3 linked regions of the Coturnix japonica genome follow. The protein of the gene in region 3 interacts with the protein of the main gene of each other region in a pairwise test. Links are inferred from orthologs where the notes say so. Each region holds a gene or a part of one and is shown on either strand. Other genes may lie near its edges. The genes, in order: FGFR1OP2, PCNT and TRAF3IP1.

What was found.
Region 1: the proteins of TRAF3IP1 (region 3) and FGFR1OP2 interact in a two-hybrid assay, tested with the Homo sapiens proteins (2 studies listed by IntAct). The link is inferred for Coturnix japonica from reciprocal best matches to the Homo sapiens genes TRAF3IP1 and FGFR1OP2.
Region 2: the proteins of TRAF3IP1 (region 3) and PCNT interact in a two-hybrid assay, tested with the Homo sapiens proteins (2 studies listed by BioGRID and IntAct). The link is inferred for Coturnix japonica from reciprocal best matches to the Homo sapiens genes TRAF3IP1 and PCNT.

What each region holds. Positions count from the first base shown.
Region 1 is NC_029516.1:62,493,972-62,497,622, reverse strand, and holds part of FGFR1OP2 (FGFR1 oncogene partner 2), read right to left. Parts: intron 2,445-3,651; coding exon 2,331-2,444; intron 2,038-2,330; coding exon 1,924-2,037; intron 1,169-1,923; coding exon 1,031-1,168; 3' UTR 1-1,030. UniProt on the Homo sapiens protein: May be involved in wound healing pathway.
Region 2 is NC_029522.1:2,343,681-2,347,331, reverse strand, and holds part of PCNT (pericentrin), read right to left. Parts: intron 2,688-3,651; coding exon 2,166-2,687; intron 1,409-2,165; coding exon 1,131-1,408; intron 404-1,130; coding exon 301-403; intron 1-300. UniProt on the Homo sapiens protein: Integral component of the filamentous matrix of the centrosome involved in the initial establishment of organized microtubule arrays in both mitosis and meiosis. Plays a role, together with DISC1, in the microtubule network formation.
Region 3 is NC_029522.1:3,289,352-3,293,002, forward strand, and holds part of TRAF3IP1 (TRAF3-interacting protein 1), read right to left. Parts: coding exon 3,576-3,651; intron 3,433-3,575; coding exon 2,962-3,432; intron 1-2,961.

The sequences.
Region 1 (3,651 bases), on a different chromosome or scaffold from region 3:
GTCTGACAAAAGCCAGCTGTCAATCATTGCGGCGCCTCTTTCATGGCAAACACATCTTACGAAGCACTTCTGGTGTACAGGCAAACCGTGCAAGCTACTTCTTGTTCTAGAAGCGCTAATTCATTTTCACCTCTGCAGCTTTTTCACTAATAAAAGTGAGCAGTCTTGTCAGTGTGATGTATTGAGAGCTCCCAGTGAAAATACACAAAACTCCTTGACTAAATAGTACTTAAAGAAAGAAAATAATAGTTCCAGGTGCACAGTCTGCTAACTTTGCCATAGAATTTCTCACCTCTTTCTCCCAATTATCTTTCCCTCAGTACGGTCTGAGTGCTTTCAAATTGCTGTTTCTAGCTTTGGGCAGCCAATCCCCAAAGAAACAGATGAGACTACGGCAGCCTGCCACCCACAGAGAACTGAGCTTCATTTTCTCTCATAAGGTAAAAACAACTGCAAAAGTATTGCTTATGTTTGAGCAACTGGCCTTACATTGCAACAGGGCAGCCTGCGGCTAACAGGAGCCCGTCGGCTTTCTGCTGGCTCTTTCCATTAAAGAGGCTCGTTGCTAAATGCTGAATTTCACAAACCTTAGTAACTAAAAGGACAAATGAACTATGGAGCATGCACAAAGCGTAGTCAGTCGCTATCTTTTAGCCAGATATCAGACTACTTTAAATCTTGCATTTATTGTATAATAGGTGCACTGAAGTTTTGTCCGAGCAATAAATTATATAAATTAAGTGAAATTATGTATTTTATTTGTAAAATGACTTCATATAAAAATAATTCCCAATTCCATAAGTGCACTAACCCATTTCCTACTGAAGTTAGACCTATGGCAATTAATCTGTCACTACGGTATTCAGAGAGTACCGACTGGAGTTTATTTTACACGGTATAAAAGCCACTAAACCAAAGTTCAAGATGCATAAGCCTGCTGGTGCCCTATTCAGTAACAAGTGCTTGACAAGTGACCCCTGATATTCCGTTTGTAAAGTGTGCAATTAAAGCTGGTTGGCTTCCACAGTCTTCAGCTCTTCCTCAGGCTCAAATCACTGCTTGTTACTAACCCTGAAAGGGATGTACTCTCTGATGCATCTTCTTTCTTAAGGTTCAGGAATGATTCTCTGGTTATCTGAAGAATTTCTCTCAAGCCTTTGTTTTCTTGCTATAACCGAGGGATAAAAAAAGGCATTTAATAGAACTCCAGAAAGTCAGATAACTACATGAAGGATCTCTCCTTCCCTTTACTACAAACACACTTACAAAAGACATGCAACAAACTAGCAGTACCAGTGAATGATCCAGTAACTCAAGAAAGAGACAGTAACTCAGTAACTGTGATAAGGTTAACACCCTTGCTAAGGGCTGAGTTCTAGAAATAACTGAAGCACTGGGAACAACAGAACCAAAGGCATTTTACACACAACGAACTGTACCAGAAGGTAAGTGCACAAAGCGGCTTTTGTTTTACGTGCCGGATTACCACAGAGTTACAAACAGAAAGGATCCCTTTACTGAAGAGTTTACTGACTTTAAAAACTGTTGTTAGGGTTGGTAGCAGCATTGGAAATAATTAAACATTGCACCCAGTTCCTCACTCGATAATAACGTGTGACTTGGTTCCACAACGTCTTATAAAAAAGCAGCCAAATTGGTAGCGCACTGGGAAAACCTTTGTCAAAGGAAATGATTTAATACCGAGGGAGACTGGAAAACCAAGCAGGTGACTAAAGCAAAAGTCTAAATCAGCATCTCAGGATTTGTGGCAATTTCAGCAAATCTACTGCAAGAATACAGAACATGATTTGCTCCCGAGTTCTGGAAAGATGGCACCGCAGCAGAGACCAATCTCATGTCAGCTACAGCCCCCTCAGCTCCTTGATACAACATCAAACTAATTCTCCTAAGTAAACTAATTACCTGAAACAGTCCAGCTCCATGAAGATAGCACGCAGCTATCTTAATGCTGGCTTTGAGTACTGGCAGCAGATGCACGGGAAGCTGGCTATTCCTAAACCCTAAAGTACTGAAAGACTGTAAAAGAAAGGTAGAACTGTAGGGTCAGAACAAGATATTTTGTTTAGAGACGTGGAGCACAATTTAAAGCTTGTGTGAACGTATTTGGGTAGCGGTAACCTGCTCCCCCAACTCCCCAAATAAGTGGCAGAGAGTTTCCCTGTTCTGACAGCCAGACTCTGATCTGTGTGTAATCGCAACTTCTTGTCTCACAGTCAGTTCTGAGCATTTCTCACTGGGAGGGTAGAGGAAGACAGATCCCTATTTGTGCCATCACTGGCACAAATCTCAAAAAAAGATCTCATACTTACTTCAAGCTGAATGATACGTTCCTGCTCTTTACAGCCATGCTTGTCATCAATTTCAATGGCTTTCCTCATTACCGCTGCCATTTCTGTAATTTGGTCCACGTGCACTTGTAGTTCCTACACCATATAGATAAAACAGTACTTTTAGTAATAAGCTTTCTTCATTACTAAAAATAAAGTATTACATGTGCATTTAAACTGCCGTGTCATGCAATAAAAATGCAAACACAGACCTAAACAAAGAAGCGCTAACTCTACAGCATGAGCAGCCACTGCAGTTCTGTTCATTTAAATCAATCTGGTTTGCCACACGGTTCACTTTTAGGAGTTTTACAGAAGAAAACATGCCCAAATGACTGTGCCTTTGACAGCTTCCATGTCTCCCAGATGGCTGTTAGACAGCCACGTGTTTGCTCTGGCAAGAACTTCCTGTACTGCAGGAGCTGATGTATGCGTCCTTCTGGATGTGCAGAAAGGCCAACTTCATCTGAGCACAGCAGCATATTGGACCTGTTTGAAAGCTGGTCGCAAGTCTGGTACAGACAGTACTCGCCCGTGAGTGGGCATTTCTCTGTTAGAAAGAGCAGGCAAAGCTGTCATCCTGACTATGACATAAGTTGGAAAACTCTGAGTCCTTTTTGCGGTACCGCTGCTCAAATCCACTTCCCATTTCAGCTTATCTGGGATCTGGTCTCTAGAGGTCCTTGTCCTTGTTGAACTCTAGAAACACCCTCGTGTCCTGCCTGACCTCCACTAATTAATACCAATAGGGTACTTCCCTATTATAAATAATTACTGCATCTCACTGAAATATTCATGGAGGAGAAAAAAACAACAAGTGCAGTAGTTGTCTTTGCTCATCTTGTTCCACTGCCAGGAAAGTGATGATAGGAGACATTAACACAGGCCTAACAGCCTTTGCAGGGAAGTTAGATTTTGAATAATCTCCCCTGTTTGCAAATAAGTGATATCTTACTTGGCCCTTGTTGGCTTGGGTGATGTTTTACTTTCTCACTGGCCAGCATATCAGCAAGAAGCACTTATAGAGCCTCTGCTTATTTCTCTTGAAAAATGTAGATGAAGAGCCTAAGTGATTTGGCATTCACTGCTGTAGAGTTAAGCCAAATACTTTAATGTATTTACAGACGCTTTTAATTTGTCCAGTCTTTCAACCTGTTTCTTATTCCAAATCCACTAACAGACCTGCCTCTCCATGCCTGGCCTGACCTTTGGGCAAAATTCACAACATTTATTAAATATTACTAGAAAAAGAACAGTAGGACTGAAATCTGCTATGTACAGTGAGGAACAGCACAGATTAAAG
Region 2 (3,651 bases), about 950 kb from region 3:
ATATACTTATTACATAACTAGGAAAAGAATTCCTTTGGTAGTAGACTCAGCAATGCAACAGAGAAAGAGACATACATAGAAAAACGCATACTAAATATGTTGGCATAAAGATGGTGTGAGTATAGGAGTTCCTGTCTTTTTTCTACCATCAAGCTGAAAAAAACAGATTTCCTCAGAACACTAAAACAAACCCCTACAACACAAACACCACCAACACTGCCACAACTTAGATGTGTACCAGAACCCAAAGAACACAGAACAACCTCCTGATAATGAACAAATATATGCCATTTTCCTCACCTGAGATGCAGGAGGAGTCAATAAATCTGATTTTAGTTCCTTTAATGTCTGCAGTAAAGATGCTACAGCTTCATCATTTGATACATACCAGTCACTAACCGTTCTGTTAAAAAGAAACACTTTGTCAGTATGGTTGATTTTTAGTGATCTTATATTATAGTTAGCACACATTCTTCCTCCCCATTGAAATATCTTAAGTTTTGATGCTGTCCTCATTTACTACCTATCAAACACAACACAATGAATCAGAAATTTTTATTAAATAGTGGAATTTCTAAATAGTGCTGAACAAAAACTTATTCAGAAATCCGTATTCTCTACCAGTGTGAAATTCAACCATGCAAATTCAGGCTGCAGCAAAATTTTATTGGTATTTTACTTTGCTGCCATAGAAACTAAAAATTACTGAGCTTGGCCAACTTTTCCCTTCCTCAATACAGCCCACCATTCCAAACCTGCAGCTGCCTTGATTAAGCTGTTTTTCTGATTGCTCTCCAATCCGGATTTATTTGCTCACTGCAAACTAAAAAAAAAACTCCTTCAAACTCCTGTTTTCTCTTTTTGGAGTTGCTCTTTTTATGAAAGGTTACTTCACAGATCTGGTTTGCAGGCAGGCATAAATGATTTTTACAGGAATGGGGATGACAACCTTCTAAACACAGTCTGCTAAGCACCACGTAATCATGGTTTCACATCGCAATCTTGTAAGCAGAGGAAATGATACGCAATCCATTTCCTTTAGCTGATGGCTCTCAGCCATGATCTGTGCGAGTTCAGAAGCTGTATGGAGAGAAAACTACTGTTTTATGAACAGCATTTAAGCTACTCACTTATCTACAGTTTTACACATTAACTCAACGAGACGTGCAGCTACAAAAAGCAACTGTTGTCTTATCTTCTCCAGCTGTTGCTGCTGCTGCAAGTTGAATTTTTCAGTTTCTTTTGTCATGGGCTCTTTGGCATTTTGATCTTTGTCTGAAGTACACAACGGTCCTCGTTGACTGCTGGGAGATGGAGGACTTCTTTCTGTTTCCTCTAAGATCGCCATGATTTCCTGCATCTCTTTAATTCTTTGTTCATCCCTTTGGTGTTGCAGTTCCAAGTTTTGCTATTTTAACAGAATAAGTAGTAATAAATTGCCACTTGTACATACACACACCCCAGTACATATGGATTTAGATATGCAGACCACATATGAAAGCACCACACCCAACTAACATATCCACATCTCAGTGTTTCTTAAGCCATGTACCACTTTACAGGGGGAAACTTATACTACTGCACTCCAGGGCTACCAGGAAGCCATTTAACTACAGAGTGAGCATCATCTCCATCCATTTCCTGACTTTGCAACTTGCAAGTCTTCAGAAAGTCTACAAAGCCCCCTTGTTCCTCTAATGAAAGTGAAGGAGCTGAGAAACAAGGGTGAAACCTAGTTTGGTTACCTACTATGTTTAAACCACACTTAATGTCTCCTCCATTTGCTAACAAGAGGCAATCCCCAACATAGACCTAAACTAAACCCAGAAAACAGCTACATTTGAAAAATGCAGGCAGCTGGTTTAAAGCATTTTTCATAACACTCTGTTACAGGGAAGGAAACATTTTAATTAGAGGACATTATGCACTGTGTTAATTACCAATTCATGGTTAATTCAATCTAAGGGAAGACTCAGACATTCTTACAAGTCTCTCCTGATCCTTCTGTCAGCCCTCCTCTTTGTTTCTGTTTGTTGCTGCTGCCTTTGCTCTCTCTACTCTTTCTTATTTTTATCTTGCACTGTTTTGAAGAGTAACTGCAATTCTTCCCAGTTAGCTTTCAACTTTGCCTCTCTCTCCTTCTGGGCCTCCAGGGAATGGATTACCTCTTGCTTTTGACTCCTAAGAGATTCCAGTGTTGCTCGGAGTTTGTTAGTGGTCTCATTCTCCATTTGTGTTTCTTCACAACACATCTGTACTTCAGCCTCTAGTTGCCTTTTGGAACGAATGGCTTTCTGGTGTGTTTTCTCAATGATAGCAGCTAGCTCTGCCTTGCGGGATCTCTCTTCCTCCAGCTGGGCTTGGAGCTCTCGGATAAGGGCCTGTTCTAGCAATAACTCCCTGCGCTGACAGGAAGCCTCCTCCTTAGCTTGCATGCTCAACTGTTCTGTCAAAACACGCTCGTGATTCAAGGAATTCAAGAGCTCCATAGAATGATTTCTCTCAGCATCCAAGTTCTTCTGTAGCTCCAACACTTTGTCATGTTCTTGAGACAATAACGCTTCACAGCGGGAATATTCTATCCGAAGTTCCTTGCGGAGATTATCATTTATTATTTGTTCATGCTCTAAGGATACAGACAGCTTGTTATTTTGCACCATCTGCAAATCCAAGGCAGCCTGTAAATCCTGCACAATGAGAGAAACACAGTGATATTTTAACATAAGCACTCATTTGTGGGGTGCTCTGGCATTCAGTAATTTTCAAAATTATATTTTATTCAAGGAGAAAAGAAATCAAGATTGAGCCAGACTAGTTCAGGTATTTAAAAAATTAATTTATAAACACAAGTTCAATTTTCTGAGTGCCAGAAACATGCTCTTTACAGTCACGATACCAATTAATACAACCAAGGATCTTAATATGAATATACCTTGTGGTACATTATTTTTCCTTCAATCATTAATAACCTCACTGAGAAATCAATTTATCTTTTTTTTTTTTAACATTACCCAATCATCTTAAATGATATCTGAAGCAGAAATAACCTGAATTTTGATTAAAAAACACTAATAAACAGTCATCTAAGCAGTAAGACTATCTATAAAACCTTTTGGTTTTACAGCCCACCTATTTAAAAAATGCAGAACAGACTGATGACAATAACCCATTTTCATTAGTCTGATTTCATAAAGGAAGCAAGTAAATGAAGGGGCAGCCTCAGGAAGCCAGAACAAACATGGCAGGGTTTTCTGCCCTCTCTCCCCAGGCAGCACCAGATCTCTGACCACTAAGCGGCACAAACCTGGTACCATCAGTTTTCTGTAGTACTGGGAATGCAGGACTGCAGTCACCTGAGAATGGTTACACCTCTTGCACAGCTTTACCTGGGGCAGTGCACTTTCACTTTGCTTTTGACCAATATGGTCCCCGTGTTCTCTGCATGAACAGCCCTTGTACAAGATACACACAGTGCTAACGTGCTCCACCATAAAAGCAGAAAAAAAGCCAAACCAACAAAGAGAAAACACCTACACACTTAAATAATTACCAGAAGGAGAACAAAAATCAGAGGGCAAACCATAAGGAAATTGTCAGAGGAGTTTGGCTTTGGTTTGTAATTCTACAAAAGACATATGTTAAAAAGACAGG
Region 3 (3,651 bases):
CCAGTACTTAAAGGGAGCTTATAAACAGGAGGGGGACCAACTTTTGACATGGTCTAATCAGGATAAGACAAGGAGGGATGGTTATAAACTAAAAGAGGGGAAATTTAGGTTAAATATAAGGAAGATAATTTTCACTCAGGAGGTGATGTGGCACTCCTGCAGGTTGTCCAAAGAGCTGCACGTGTCCCATTCCTGAAGGCATTCAAGACCAGTTTGGATGGGGCCCTAGGCAGCCTGAGCTGGTGGGTGACAACACTGCCCATGACAACGGGCTTGAAACTGGATGGTCTTTAAGGTCCCTTCCAACCTAAGTCATTCTATGACTCTACCATAAGCCACTGCTGTGTAAATGAACCTAAGAGGAACAAAACAGGAAAGAAGAAGAGTTCAGTCCTCAGGGCAGAAGAAAGCAGGCAACACATTAGGCAATGGCATATCAGACAGCTTGAAAGGGGGTTGTTTTAACTTGTTTCAAGTGCAGTGTATTTTTAGAAAGCTGAAAAAATGGATGCTTAAGATATATCAATGCAGCACACACTACCAAATAATGCAATCAAATACTCTTTGTAGGCATTAATACAAAAGTTGTTTCCTTTGCTTTTAATACATTTGTTTCACATGACATAAATGGTATTACAGCAATTTAAGTCAGGGTAAATCCCTGGGAATAAAGGCATTATCCTGCTGTGAAACTACTGGGAGGAAAGTAAGATCAACCTCAGTGCACTAAGGTGCACCTCTCGACTATCTCATGATGGAATGTTCTCTAAATCACTTTACACAGCTATCCAAGCTCTCCAGCTTTACGAGATTCATTGGGAGCGTTTTCATTTCATTCCTCTCTTGCAGAGCCTTAGTAAGGTGACCATTTGTCATGCACTCGTCTAAAGAGTATGTTTTCAACACCTAAAAGCAAAGCAGCGTCTACCGTTACGCAAGCAAGTAAAGGAACAGCATGTTATCTAGATTTAAGGTAGTAAAGCAACATGCCTTGGAATCACTCCCAAAAGCACTTAAGACGGGAAATGAAACTTTACTGCCCCAGCATATTCCAGTGGTGCCCAAGAGCACTACGACAGCTTGGGACGAGGCTCAGAATTTCCATTAGAGACCCAATTTGCAGGAAGTTTAACTTGGCCATGAACGTTCGCTTCAGGCTGAAAACTATTTTATAAGCTCTCCCTCCAAGTGCCAATAATTCAAAAACTTTGGTTGGATTTCAGTCAAAAAACAGCTATAAATTTGTCATCTCATGTAGAAGACACAATGATGTCAGCGGCCCACAGAATTCCAACAGAGACGCCTGCTGGACTTGGGATGCTGCCTATTTCTTCCTAGCATGAACTACCTTCAGGCTAATTTATTGAAGGCTCACTCTTAAACATTTAGCCATACGGTTCCTTAATTCCCCATATTGCCTCAGGTCATCAAGAAGCAGCAGATGCAGACACAATGGTATCACAAACAACAGCTACTGTTCAGAGGCAGTCAGCAAGTTCCTGTTCCACCCTACCATCATCCAGCTGCAAAACACAATGCAAAACTGGATTTATTTTCCATTCAACCCAGCAACCGCTATTAAAACACCTGTCCTAAATCCTAGCAGCTGGCACGGTTTGGATTGAGGGTAAGAACAATGTTGATAGCACAACAACGGTATAGCTGTTGCTAAGGAGTGCTTACACTCAGCCAGGAAGAACTCTGCAGCTTCTTGTGCTGGCTGCCAACAAGGCACTGGGGTGCACAAAGATATGGGAGGGGACAAAACCAGGACAGCTCACCTAAGCTTGCCAAAGGGATATCCCATACATACGGCATCACCCTGAGATAGCCAGGATTCCACTGCTGGGCATCAGTCAGCTGGTGGTGAACAAATGATTTTTACACTGCTTGTTTAGTTGCTTTTCCTTTTTTTTGTCTTATTAAACTCCCTTTATCTCAACCACCCCCCCACCCATTTTTGCACTTTGAACTTTTCAGTTCTCTCCTCCAGCCCAAAGCTGGGGGTGCGAGTGAGCAGCTGCATCACACTGAGCTGCCTGATCAAACAAACATATAGCAGCATTCCAGGAAAGAGGAAAAAGGAGAAACCTTTGAACAAATAAACATTTTCCTGTAGTAGTCAACTAAATAAAAATACTCAGACAACCTATTTTAGAGCCCTAAAACTTGGCATCTACTTCACTTTCAATCTTCATTTCCTTAATGCAGATTTCCAAACCATTCTAAACTGGAACGCTTTCAAAGCTCGCCTTCCCCGATCTTCTATATCATTAACCTCATCATCTGGCTGGCACCTGCTGGCTTTAGTTGGCTTCTGCAGTTTTCTAAGTTTGGATTCCTCAGAATCTGCAGACTAAAATGAAATATTTGCTTTAGATTCCATGTGCTGAGTAACAGCCTAGTTAGCTGAAATATATGAATAGGAAATGAGCATACAGTGCAACTGGGCGCATTACAACAGAATTCTTAGCCATCTACCTGCTCTCCTCAACTGGCTTGGCTCTCTTGGAAGTCTAACAGGGCAAGATTCACTGTTCAACTGATCTCTCTATGGAAGAAGTAAGCTCAAGAGTGAGACAAGCAACCAGCTATGGCTCAACAAAGCTCTCTTTAACCCCCACCTTCCCCAGAAGCTAGCTTTGGCTGAAGCAACAGCATGCGTTACTAGAAAGATGCATGACAATGACAGCGAATAATTCCAACAATAGCTGCCACTCCACTCTATCAGATTGAATCTAATGTGATGAGGAGAATTCAAGCAAGCACAGTTCAGAAAATAAACTGCTTAACAGACATTCAGGAAGCACTGGGCAGATGAGTCTGACTGCTCGCAGACAGGAAGGTGCACATACAGCCTCGGCCACATCCTTAACAGATTAAATCCATAATAAAAAAACATTCACTGTTACAGAAAACGCTTCATAGTTGAACACTGCTCTGCGATAAGATCTCACTTACCTTTTTCTCTGCTTTATCCTTTCCGTGTTCTTGTCCATGCTCCCCATCTTTCCCTCTGTCTCTCTGTTTGTCCCTCTCAGGGTCTTTTCCCTTTTCTCTGTCTTTCTCTCGTTCTCTCTCCCTACCCTTATCTTTGTCTCTTCCTTTCAGTCTGTCCGTTTCTCTTCCTCCTTCATTTTTTTTCTCCTTTTCTTGTGCTTTATCCCGTCCAATATTATCTTCTCGTTCTATGTCTCTTTTTCCCTTGCTTTTTTCTGTTTCTCTTCCTTGTTTGGTCGTTCTGCTTTTGTTTCTTTCCCTTTCTTGTTTTCCTCCTTCCTTAGAGTTGTCCCTTTCAGAGTCTTTGTGCCTGTCTTCATTATCCTTCTGTTTTTCACTTTCCTTTTCTCTTTCTTCGTTTTCTTTGACGTCTCCTTTGGGTTTTCTGTCTCTGCTCGAACTTCTGTCTTTAATGTCAGTTTCTCCTCTTCCCTAAAACAAATCAAAAAGTAATATTCAATTTCAATAGATGTCAACTCTATCACATAGTTACTTTCTACATACAACATGCCCACTATAGAAATAAAATATATAATAATAATGAGTAGCCAGTGTACCCAACAGGAGTTTCCTACCTCTTTATCCCTATGGTTTTTTTGGTCTGTTTTGGACTCCCTGCTTTCTGTATCTCGAGGTTTACTGGATGGAGGT